Cricetulus griseus: one gene and its partner. The protein of the gene in region 2 purifies or fractionates together with the protein of the main gene of each other region. This does not show direct contact. Links are inferred from orthologs where the notes say so. Each region holds a gene or a part of one and is shown on either strand. Other genes may lie near its edges.

Evidence for each region. The genes of interacting proteins can lie anywhere in the genome.
Region 1: the proteins of Slc6a15 (region 2) and Gpat3 purify together in Homo sapiens (co-immunoprecipitation; 3 studies listed by BioGRID and IntAct, counting the BioPlex papers as one, with this or other methods). This does not show direct contact. The link is inferred for Cricetulus griseus from reciprocal best matches to the Homo sapiens genes SLC6A15 and GPAT3.

The regions. Positions count from the first base shown.
Region 1 is NW_023276807.1:162,900,233-162,904,381, reverse strand, and holds the start of Gpat3 (glycerol-3-phosphate acyltransferase 3), read right to left. Parts: upstream 2,847-4,149; 5' UTR 2,682-2,846; exon of another isoform or gene 2,642-2,681; intron 2,397-2,641; exon of another isoform or gene 2,225-2,396; intron 2,184-2,224; exon of another isoform or gene 1,964-2,183; 5' UTR 1,808-1,963; coding exon 1,667-1,807; intron 1,184-1,666; exon of another isoform or gene 1,161-1,183; intron 1-1,160. UniProt on the Homo sapiens protein: Converts glycerol-3-phosphate to 1-acyl-sn-glycerol-3-phosphate (lysophosphatidic acid or LPA) by incorporating an acyl moiety at the sn-1 position of the glycerol backbone.
Region 2 is NW_023276806.1:168,535,963-168,540,312, reverse strand, and holds the start of Slc6a15 (sodium-dependent neutral amino acid transporter B(0)AT2), read right to left. Parts: upstream 2,806-4,350; 5' UTR 2,450-2,805; intron 2,301-2,449; exon of another isoform or gene 2,279-2,300; intron 1,307-2,278; exon of another isoform or gene 1,247-1,306; intron 1-1,246.

The DNA of each region.
Region 1 (4,149 bases), on a different chromosome or scaffold from region 2:
TTATGTTAGTGCTTGGGGCCTGAGGCAGCAGGTTGCAGAGTTCAAGGCCAGTCTGAGCTACATAGTGAGATGCCATCTTGGGGGGGGGTCGAAGAATGGGACAGACTGTCGATAAAGAATCTAATATAGCTTCAAAGATTCATTAAAGAAATAGCCACAAAGAAAAGTCCAACAAGAATCCAGAGGAAAACCTTAGTTAGCAGGCAGCTGTGGGGTAAAGATATATATCTAGGAGCCACTCCTTTACTATGAAGGAAGAAGGGACAGCGCCAAGTCCTTTGGGAGAACAAAAAGCACAAGCCAAAAATAACGCACAGCTGTAGGTGGTAATAGAGAAGCTGGGGAAACAAAGACAGGGACTCTAAGCAACCATACTATTCATTTAATCATAGCAAACACACAGAGCACCTAACACACACGGGCACCTTGCAGAGGGCTCCACCTTGCTGAGGGCTCCCTGTCCTATGTATTTTTACTCTTAAAAACAACTATGTGGAGGCGGGCGTTGGTGGCGCATGCTTTTAATCCCAGCACTCGGGAGGCAGAGGCAGGCAGATCTCTGTGAGTTCGAGGCCAGCCTGGTCTCCAGAGCAAGTGCCAGGACGGCTTCCAAAGCTACACAGAGAAACCCTGTCTCGAAAAACCAAAACCAAAAACAAACAAACAAAAAAACTATGTGGAGAGCTAAGTGTGATGTCCCCTGTCTGTAAAGCCAGAACTTGGGAGCCTAAGGTAAGTGGAGAATTTCAAAGCCAGCTAGGGCTCCAAGAGTGACAGCCTGTCTTAAAACCAAACCAAACAGACAACAGATGAAAATGATATGCAAATAGGTGTTGATACTTCTATTTGGTAGATGAGTACAATGAAGGAGTCAGATGACCTTGCTAGATCAGATACTGGGAAACTGGGATGAGAGTTAGGTACCAAATCTAGACAAATCTGTACAGCCTACAGGGCCTCTCTTCATTAAGACCACTGCTGTTTGTCACACTTAATTCAAACAAACCTTTCAACTCAGCATCCCACAGCACTTGCCTCCCTACAAGGAGAGGCCTGAATTTTACTAAAGACCCTTATAAACTTCAACTGAAGCCTGTCCTAACACCCTATCTGGGGAATTTGGAAACAAACCCAAGACCAAGCTGAGGCCAAAGAAGAACCTTTGCATTCCAGTGTCCCAAGTTAGATGATGATGATGATGATGATGATGATGATGATGATGATAAATCCCCCAAGACTCCACTAAAATAAAATCAGATTCTTTTTCTGCCACCGGGCCATTGGTTTCTTATCTTGGGCATGAAGTGGAACGTGATGCCTCTGTAGACACAAAAGGACCTCTGAAACCTGGGGCTGTAAAAACTCCAGAGGGAAGTGACAGCTTGCAAGGCATGGGTAATAAATCCGCTGATGCAGCAAACGGCCTAGAGTTCATCTAGTAAGTAAAAAATAGTAGTGATGACAGAACCCAGGTGGAAGGGTTTCTGTGAGGTGGACTGCTGTTCTTGGCTGGGATCAGTGCGACTCTCCCGGCAAATAGAGCCACTGTCTTTCTCGCTACAGCAGACCCTTTGCTCAAAAGACTCTGGCAGTTCTATGTTCAGGCGCCACCCAGCTCCCTAAGTTCTCAGAGCAGCCCGGGCTCACATCCTTCCGCCGCACTCACCTCCAACGTTTTCACCAGGATCTTCATGTAGAACTCCGAGATGCCTAGAGACAATCCGAAGGCCGAGGGCAGCACGATAAGACCGACCACCAGCGTCAGCCAGGTGGATAGGACCTTCACCGCCAGGTCTGCGCCCTCCATGTCTCGGCACGCCCTCCGGGAGAGGTCCCCGGGAGATCCCAAGGCCGTAGAGGGATATCCAAGTCCCAGGCAGTCCCGCACAGCTCCGAAAACACAGCGTCCGACCCGGAGCCGGGCTCCAGGGACTCAGCGCCGCCTGCCTCACTCCCTTCACCTCTGCGGGGAGGGAGAACTCTCAGAACCACAGCAATCTCCTTCCCTCTTCCCCTTGGGTCCCTGTTGTCCCCGAAGGCTAACTCTCCACTAGAGGCCCAGGCCAAGTTGTGACCACCGCAGAGGGAGCAGACGAGAAGACCCAGCTGGCGATCTAGGGGACACCCTGGCGAGATCAGAGCTCACGAAGGCAACCAGGAACGCGCCCCACCCCGGGCCTGATTTCCTCCGGGTAGCGATTGCGACAACCCCGCGGTGACTCACCCAGGCCCTCGGGCAGTGAGGATCCCTGCAGGTTCCCTGCACCTTCTGCGTGGGCTACGGGCTATGCGGGTAGCTGGTGGCTTGCTTTCGGGTGCCGGGGAGCTCTTTTACTGCACTCTGCCCTTGTCCCACCCCCCTCATCACCCAACTGGGAACTCCCTGGCACGACTGAGTCCCGGGGGCACCGCTGCCTGGGTGAGCCACCGCCCTCTGCCCCGCCTCCCTCCTCCCGCCCCCGTGCCCTGCACTCCCAGCAAAGGTCCTTTTCGGGAGCAGACTTTCCATCTTCACCCACAGAATGGGCCCCTGATGTCTCCCGGACTCTACGGAAAATCATTTTATAAGCGTACAAAACGGCCGCCTGGGAAAGGCTTTCGGGAGGAGGAGACTGCAGTGCAAAAGTGAGCCCTCACACACCTCCTTTCCTGCCCTGGCCAGCCGCAGGGTTGAATCTTACAGGGAAGAAGAAAGCTCGCTCGTTCTCTCTCCACAAGTCGCCTTAGCCACCCTGCCAACACCTCCCTGGCACAGAATAGACCCAGAAGACCGGAGTGGCAGTGTCGCAGGACTGTAATTCCAACACTTGCACCCAGGAATCAGAGGAGATGAGTCTGGGCTGTTCCAATAGTCCGCCTAGGGCTAAATAACCAGATCCCGTTTTTAAAAGGGCGGGCAGTGATGGGTGGAGGGGCTGGGCTGTTTGTCACTCCCCTCCCTGGAGAGTCCAACCTAAGCTTCCCTTGCATCCACCCACACTCAGAGCACAGACTGCAGAAAATGCTGCGCAAATGCTAACCTTCACCCAACCCGCAAGAGTTTCCCCGGGATCCACGTCCCACGCCGCCGCTATGGTGCTAGCCCTTACTAGAACAAAGAACAAATAATCCTGCACGTGTATTCCACTGCAGCTCAACCAGTTTTAATTAAAACCTGAGAAGGGACACTGAGAACAGTTGTGAGCAAACTGCCCAGGGTCCAGACCATCACTGAATCGGCTCTAAATTCTTCTTAGTAGGACCAAACTCGTTTCACAGTTGACAGTCAGGAATTGTTTTTGGAGTTGGAAAAAGTGGGGAGAGCCAGCACACTGAACGGAGCATGTTAATAGCAAATTTTGCAGAGAAAGCTGTCCCCACCCCCAGGAGTCCTGGAGGAAGAAGAAAACTCTTCTCTCTGCACCTCCTGCCAGTTGCCCACACTCTCCCCACTAGAAACTTGTGAAGGAAAAGGTGTCAGGAACTCACTCTCAAAATGTAGCCTCTGGGGCCAGTGAGACAGCTATCAACAAAGGTGCCTGCTGCCAAACACCATGAACTGTCAGTCTTTGGACCCCTATGGTGTAGGCGTTGAACCAATTTATCACCTGACTATAGGTGTTCACTGGCATGATACACACACACACACACACACACACACACACACACACACACACACACGATAAATAAAACATAATTTTAAAGAAAATTGTGTGGGCTGGAGAGATGACTCAATGATTAAGGGCACTGACTGCTCTTCCAGAGGATCTGGGTTCAATTCCCAGCACCCACATGACAGATAAGAACTGTCTATAACTCCAACATCTGACACTTTCACATAGACAGACATACATGAGGGCAAAACACCAATGCACATAAAATAAATGAATTATTTTAAAAAATTGTGCAGGGCAGTGGTGGCACATGTCTTTATTATTATTATTATTGTTATTATTATTTTGGTTTTTCGAGACAGGGTTTCTCTTCGTAGCTTTGGAGCCTATCCTGGCACTCGCTCTGGAGACCAGGCTGGTCTCAAACTCACAGAGATCCGCCTGCCTCTGCCTCCCGAGTGCTGGGATTAAAGGTGTGTGCCACCAAGGCCCGGCTTGACACATGTCTTTAATTCCAGCACTCAGGAGACAGAATTAGGTGGATCTCTGTGAGTTC
Region 2 (4,350 bases):
TACTAAATACCAGCAAAAGAGTAATGTTGTTAATAAACCAAGACTAAGTCAAAAGATTCTAGCCATAGAAAACTGGATATCTTCCATGCATTGCACTATGCCTATGGAGTTTTTTTTTTTTTTTTTAATAATGCCATCTGCTCAGAAATCACTTCAAAGTCAAGTCTGCATATTAATATATTATTATATCCAGTCATGCATATGTAGTGGTAAAGAATTAACATAATATTCAAAAAAAGTTGGATGATAAATGAAGAAAAAAACCAAAACTAGAGATTGTAATAACCACGGGGGGGGGGGGGAGGAACTCTTTTAGTTTTGCCATTCTAAGGAGACAATGTTTTTAAACTGGCTGCATATAACACCAGAGTCTAAATAAACATTGAAGTATCTCCTATTTTGTACCTTTTTAAGACAGAAACATCTTTTAACAAGCACATGCTAAGACTGGGTAAGTGTGTGATTATAACTATAAAGCTCAGGTTGTAATATCTATTTTGATTTATTTTTAGATGTTCCAATAATTTATAAAAAGGCCTCCTGCCTATCTCCAGAAAGCTAGATCACCTAATTTTAAAACTCCCTAACTAGATGGCAAAATACCTGTCTCCCAGAAACGTGTATAAGAAACCTTTTAAACCCCATTAAAAGCCACAACTTGGGTTATAGATATCGGAATTTTACAATGATTCTTAAGCCAACTAGGTAGTGTGTAATAAACACGGAGATACTAACTTCCTTTCAAAATTTGTTAATTCTTCTCTCCCAACAACACAACAGGAATGCACTCAAAGTTTCACTTGGAGGGTCAGTTAATTTACTTTTCTTTTTTTGTTGTTGTTAATTTACTTTTAAACTTGGTAGGATAATACAAAAATCATTTGAGTTACTGTGAGAGAAATACACATATTGTCTATGAACAAAAAAAAAAAAACCTCATTACACCAAATATTTATAAACTGCCTAAACAACTCTAGGTTAAGAAAGTTGAGAAGGATGCAATTAGGTCTGTATTTAATAAGACGTAATTATGAAGTGGGGCCTTCAGCGTTTGAAGCTTAATGGAACTGCTCTGATCCTGGCTTTCCAGAAAGCAACCAAGCACTGGCAGTTATAAAATACCTTTTACAGAAAAGGCTAAAAGAAGCCTAAATGGAGCACCCAAAGCAAAGCCTTCTTCCCCCCACCCCCACCCCCAGCCAGCCTCAGGTATGCAAAAAGAATTCAGACCTAGGAATGGGGATACCTTTAAGATCTGAAGAGACAGGCAGGATGGACCCAAGGCAACGGCTACAGTCTTATTTGCATAAGCACCCAAACACTTAGACGTCACCACGCTAGCCTCTAGGCCCCGCCCAATCTTACTCCAGCCTTTCTCCACTAGGGTGGAGGATGAGAGAAGAGAAGCCAGATTAGCTATGTTAAAGAGCACTTTCAAGGCCGCTAGCTCACTGGAGAAAAGAAAAAAAAGCATCCCTCCCTTGGAGCCCTTGAAAGAGGGGTCTCTCTTGCCACCCCCACCACATCCCCACCAAGTATCCCTAAAGGGATTCATATTCATTCCTTCGCTTAAGACTGTGGCGCTCAAGTTAACAGTGTACAGCTTTCACTCCAGTGTACAACATTCCTATATATCCAATTTTTTCTGCGCTGTCACACACAGACCAGCCAAGTGGATGAACTACGTAGAAGGCTTAAGGATGCCCAGTCCTTCCCCAGCCGTTCCTTAAGTTCCCAGTGCCACCATCCTTTCCGCTATCCTCTGTAACTTTCCAATTCCAGGATGCGCAGAGGCGCCTGAAGATGTGCTTTCTTCAGCAGCCACGTGCCTAAAAGCCGGTTTTCGGACAGCCCATCACAGGATGCCTCCAGCGGGAAAGAATTGAATCCGGGTCACGAATACACTGCCTTGATAGACTGTGCTACTGTGGCAAATGATCCTCAAGCCCCCAGGAAGGAGGCTTGCTGCTCTCCCGCCTTACCTCCCACCCTTATGAGGACTGGATTCCAATTTACTTCGGGAGTGCATCTCTGCCCTGACACCAAGTTTCCTCCTCCCCTTGTCAAACCCTGCCCTTCAAACCCCAACTTGATTTGGAAACAAGCCCGTTTCCTCGGATGCACTAGGCAGTTTCCACCCAGGTTAGGAAGGGTGGATGCACGTTTTGACCCACGTGCTTCTCCGCACAAGTGCCACCTTGGACCCTCACCACCGGAGCCCCAGTTTGCACAGGTGCAAGACACAGAGCCAGAGGATGTCCTCAGAAACCAGCTTTACCCTTCCACGTTTCCTGTTGCCCTTCCTCCTGCCATCCCAGGATCGATGCTGAGTCTTTCTGGAGCTCCATCCAAGCATCCTGCTGCTCTTCCTGGCGCCTGACTCCTGGGTGGCTAAGAGACAGCCCCACCCTACCCCTGGCGATGCCCCAGCCCCAGAGCGCGACATTACCTCTGATGCTTTTTTAGCCAGCACCTCTTACTGTTTCCACGTTCCTAGGTCGAGAAATGGTCGGATCCAGGAGATGGTGCCAGAGGCCACAGGGGAGCTGTCTGGGTAGCAGAAACAGCTTGCCAAGGGCAGGCTTGGTTTCGGGAGTCGCTGTCCTGCAGCAAGAGACTCGTGAGCGCCTGTGCCTGCCAGGGAAATGGCACGGGATGCTGGTGCGCGGTTCCTGGGGAGCCTGTGTGTGCGCGCGTGCGTGCGTGCGTGTGTTTTGGTGTGTTTGTGTGTATGTATATGTCTGTGTGCGTGTGGGTCTCTCTCTCTGTGTGTGTGTGTGTGTGTTTGTGTGTGTGTGTGTGTGTGTGTGTGTGTGTGTGTGTGTGTGTGTGTGTGTGTGAGTGAGTGTGTGTGTGTGCGCGCGCGCGCGCTCGCGCGCGTGTGTATGAGTGAGGGTGTGACAGAGGCTCCCACGTGCCCAGCTTGCCTGTGCTGTGGCCCCCCGACAGGCTGCGGGGGGAGAGGAGGTGCTTGCGGGCGGGGACCCGGCGCCAAGGATCGAGCCAGGTCTGCAGGCTGGGAGCCGCCTCTCCTCCCCACCACCCCATGACGCAGAGGCCAATGCGGCTGCCCGCTGCGTCCTCCCAGTGCGCAGGGCTGGGCCGGCGTGACGCTGGGTAGATCTGGGGAAGCCCCACGTAAAGCCAACAAAACAGATTACCACTTCTCTTGCCCCCACCCCCACCCCAAGCCATTCTAACATCTGTCTCCTAACCCACTCAGCTAAAAGGATGGGCACTAGTTGCCTGGTCCTTCTTTGTCTCTGCAAGTATAATAATTGCCAGGGTCCTGCTGTCCCCCTCTGCTAGAATCAGCAAGGAGTCTAGAGATGAGGGATTCTGGGTTTTTTTCCTTCGCCTCTATTTACATATTTTGTGAAAGAGGCTCTTGGGGCTTTGCTTCTCAGCTGGATACTGACACCCTCAAGGATGCTGGTTAAGTTGTCTAAAGTGGTTTTTAGCAAGCTGGCCCTCACTGTTGGTTTGTGTCTATGTATCAGGTTCTTTCTCAAGCGGTGTCTACCAGTTGAAGTCTGACTTAACTTTTTCAGTATTCAAAGAATGCTTTCAATTAAGCCACGTGGGGAATTTCTAAAATATACATCGATAAACACAATGAACACAAAGCTTTACCCCTTTGTAGAATCTCTGAACTGTTCCCTAAATAAGTCCCTAGGACTATACTATGATCTAGGCATTAAGTTTAGGGTCGTTGAAACTTTAAATTTTTTAAAGAAATGCAAAAACGCCCTTGAACATATTGCTGAAGAATGAGTTTCCTTCTTTAGTGAAAGACATTTTTTTCCATTTCTAGATAATATTATCAGTAAAAATATTTGTGCCCTTGTAGGCCTTCCAAAGATGTAACACGAAAAATAAACGACCCAGAGACTGATATTTGGGCTCAAACTTCAAGCCGAGTAACAGAAAAGCAAAGCCGCCAGCCACTATCTCTCACCTCTAGCTCTGACTGTGGCTGAAAGGACTAATCCACTCATAAACTCTGTACCAAGTCTCAAATTGCTGCCTCTCTTCAGTGTGGCTGGAGAATGAATGCTCCTTGAGACCTTGTTTCTGTCATATTCTTCCCTAATGTTGGGAATAAAGAAAGGTGTAAGCTATAATTCTCTTTTAGACTGATTCACTCTTGTGTATTCCTGGGTGGCCTTGAACTCAGAGAGATCTGTCTATCTTTTAATTTTGAGTCCTAGGATTAAAGGTGTGTACCACCACATCCTAGCTTCTGGCTGCTGGAATTAAAGTTGTGTGCCACCACTGCCTTATCTCTATAGCTTGAGGCTGACTTTGCTTTTTATAAATCATGAATTGAAATATCAATTTTACTGCTTA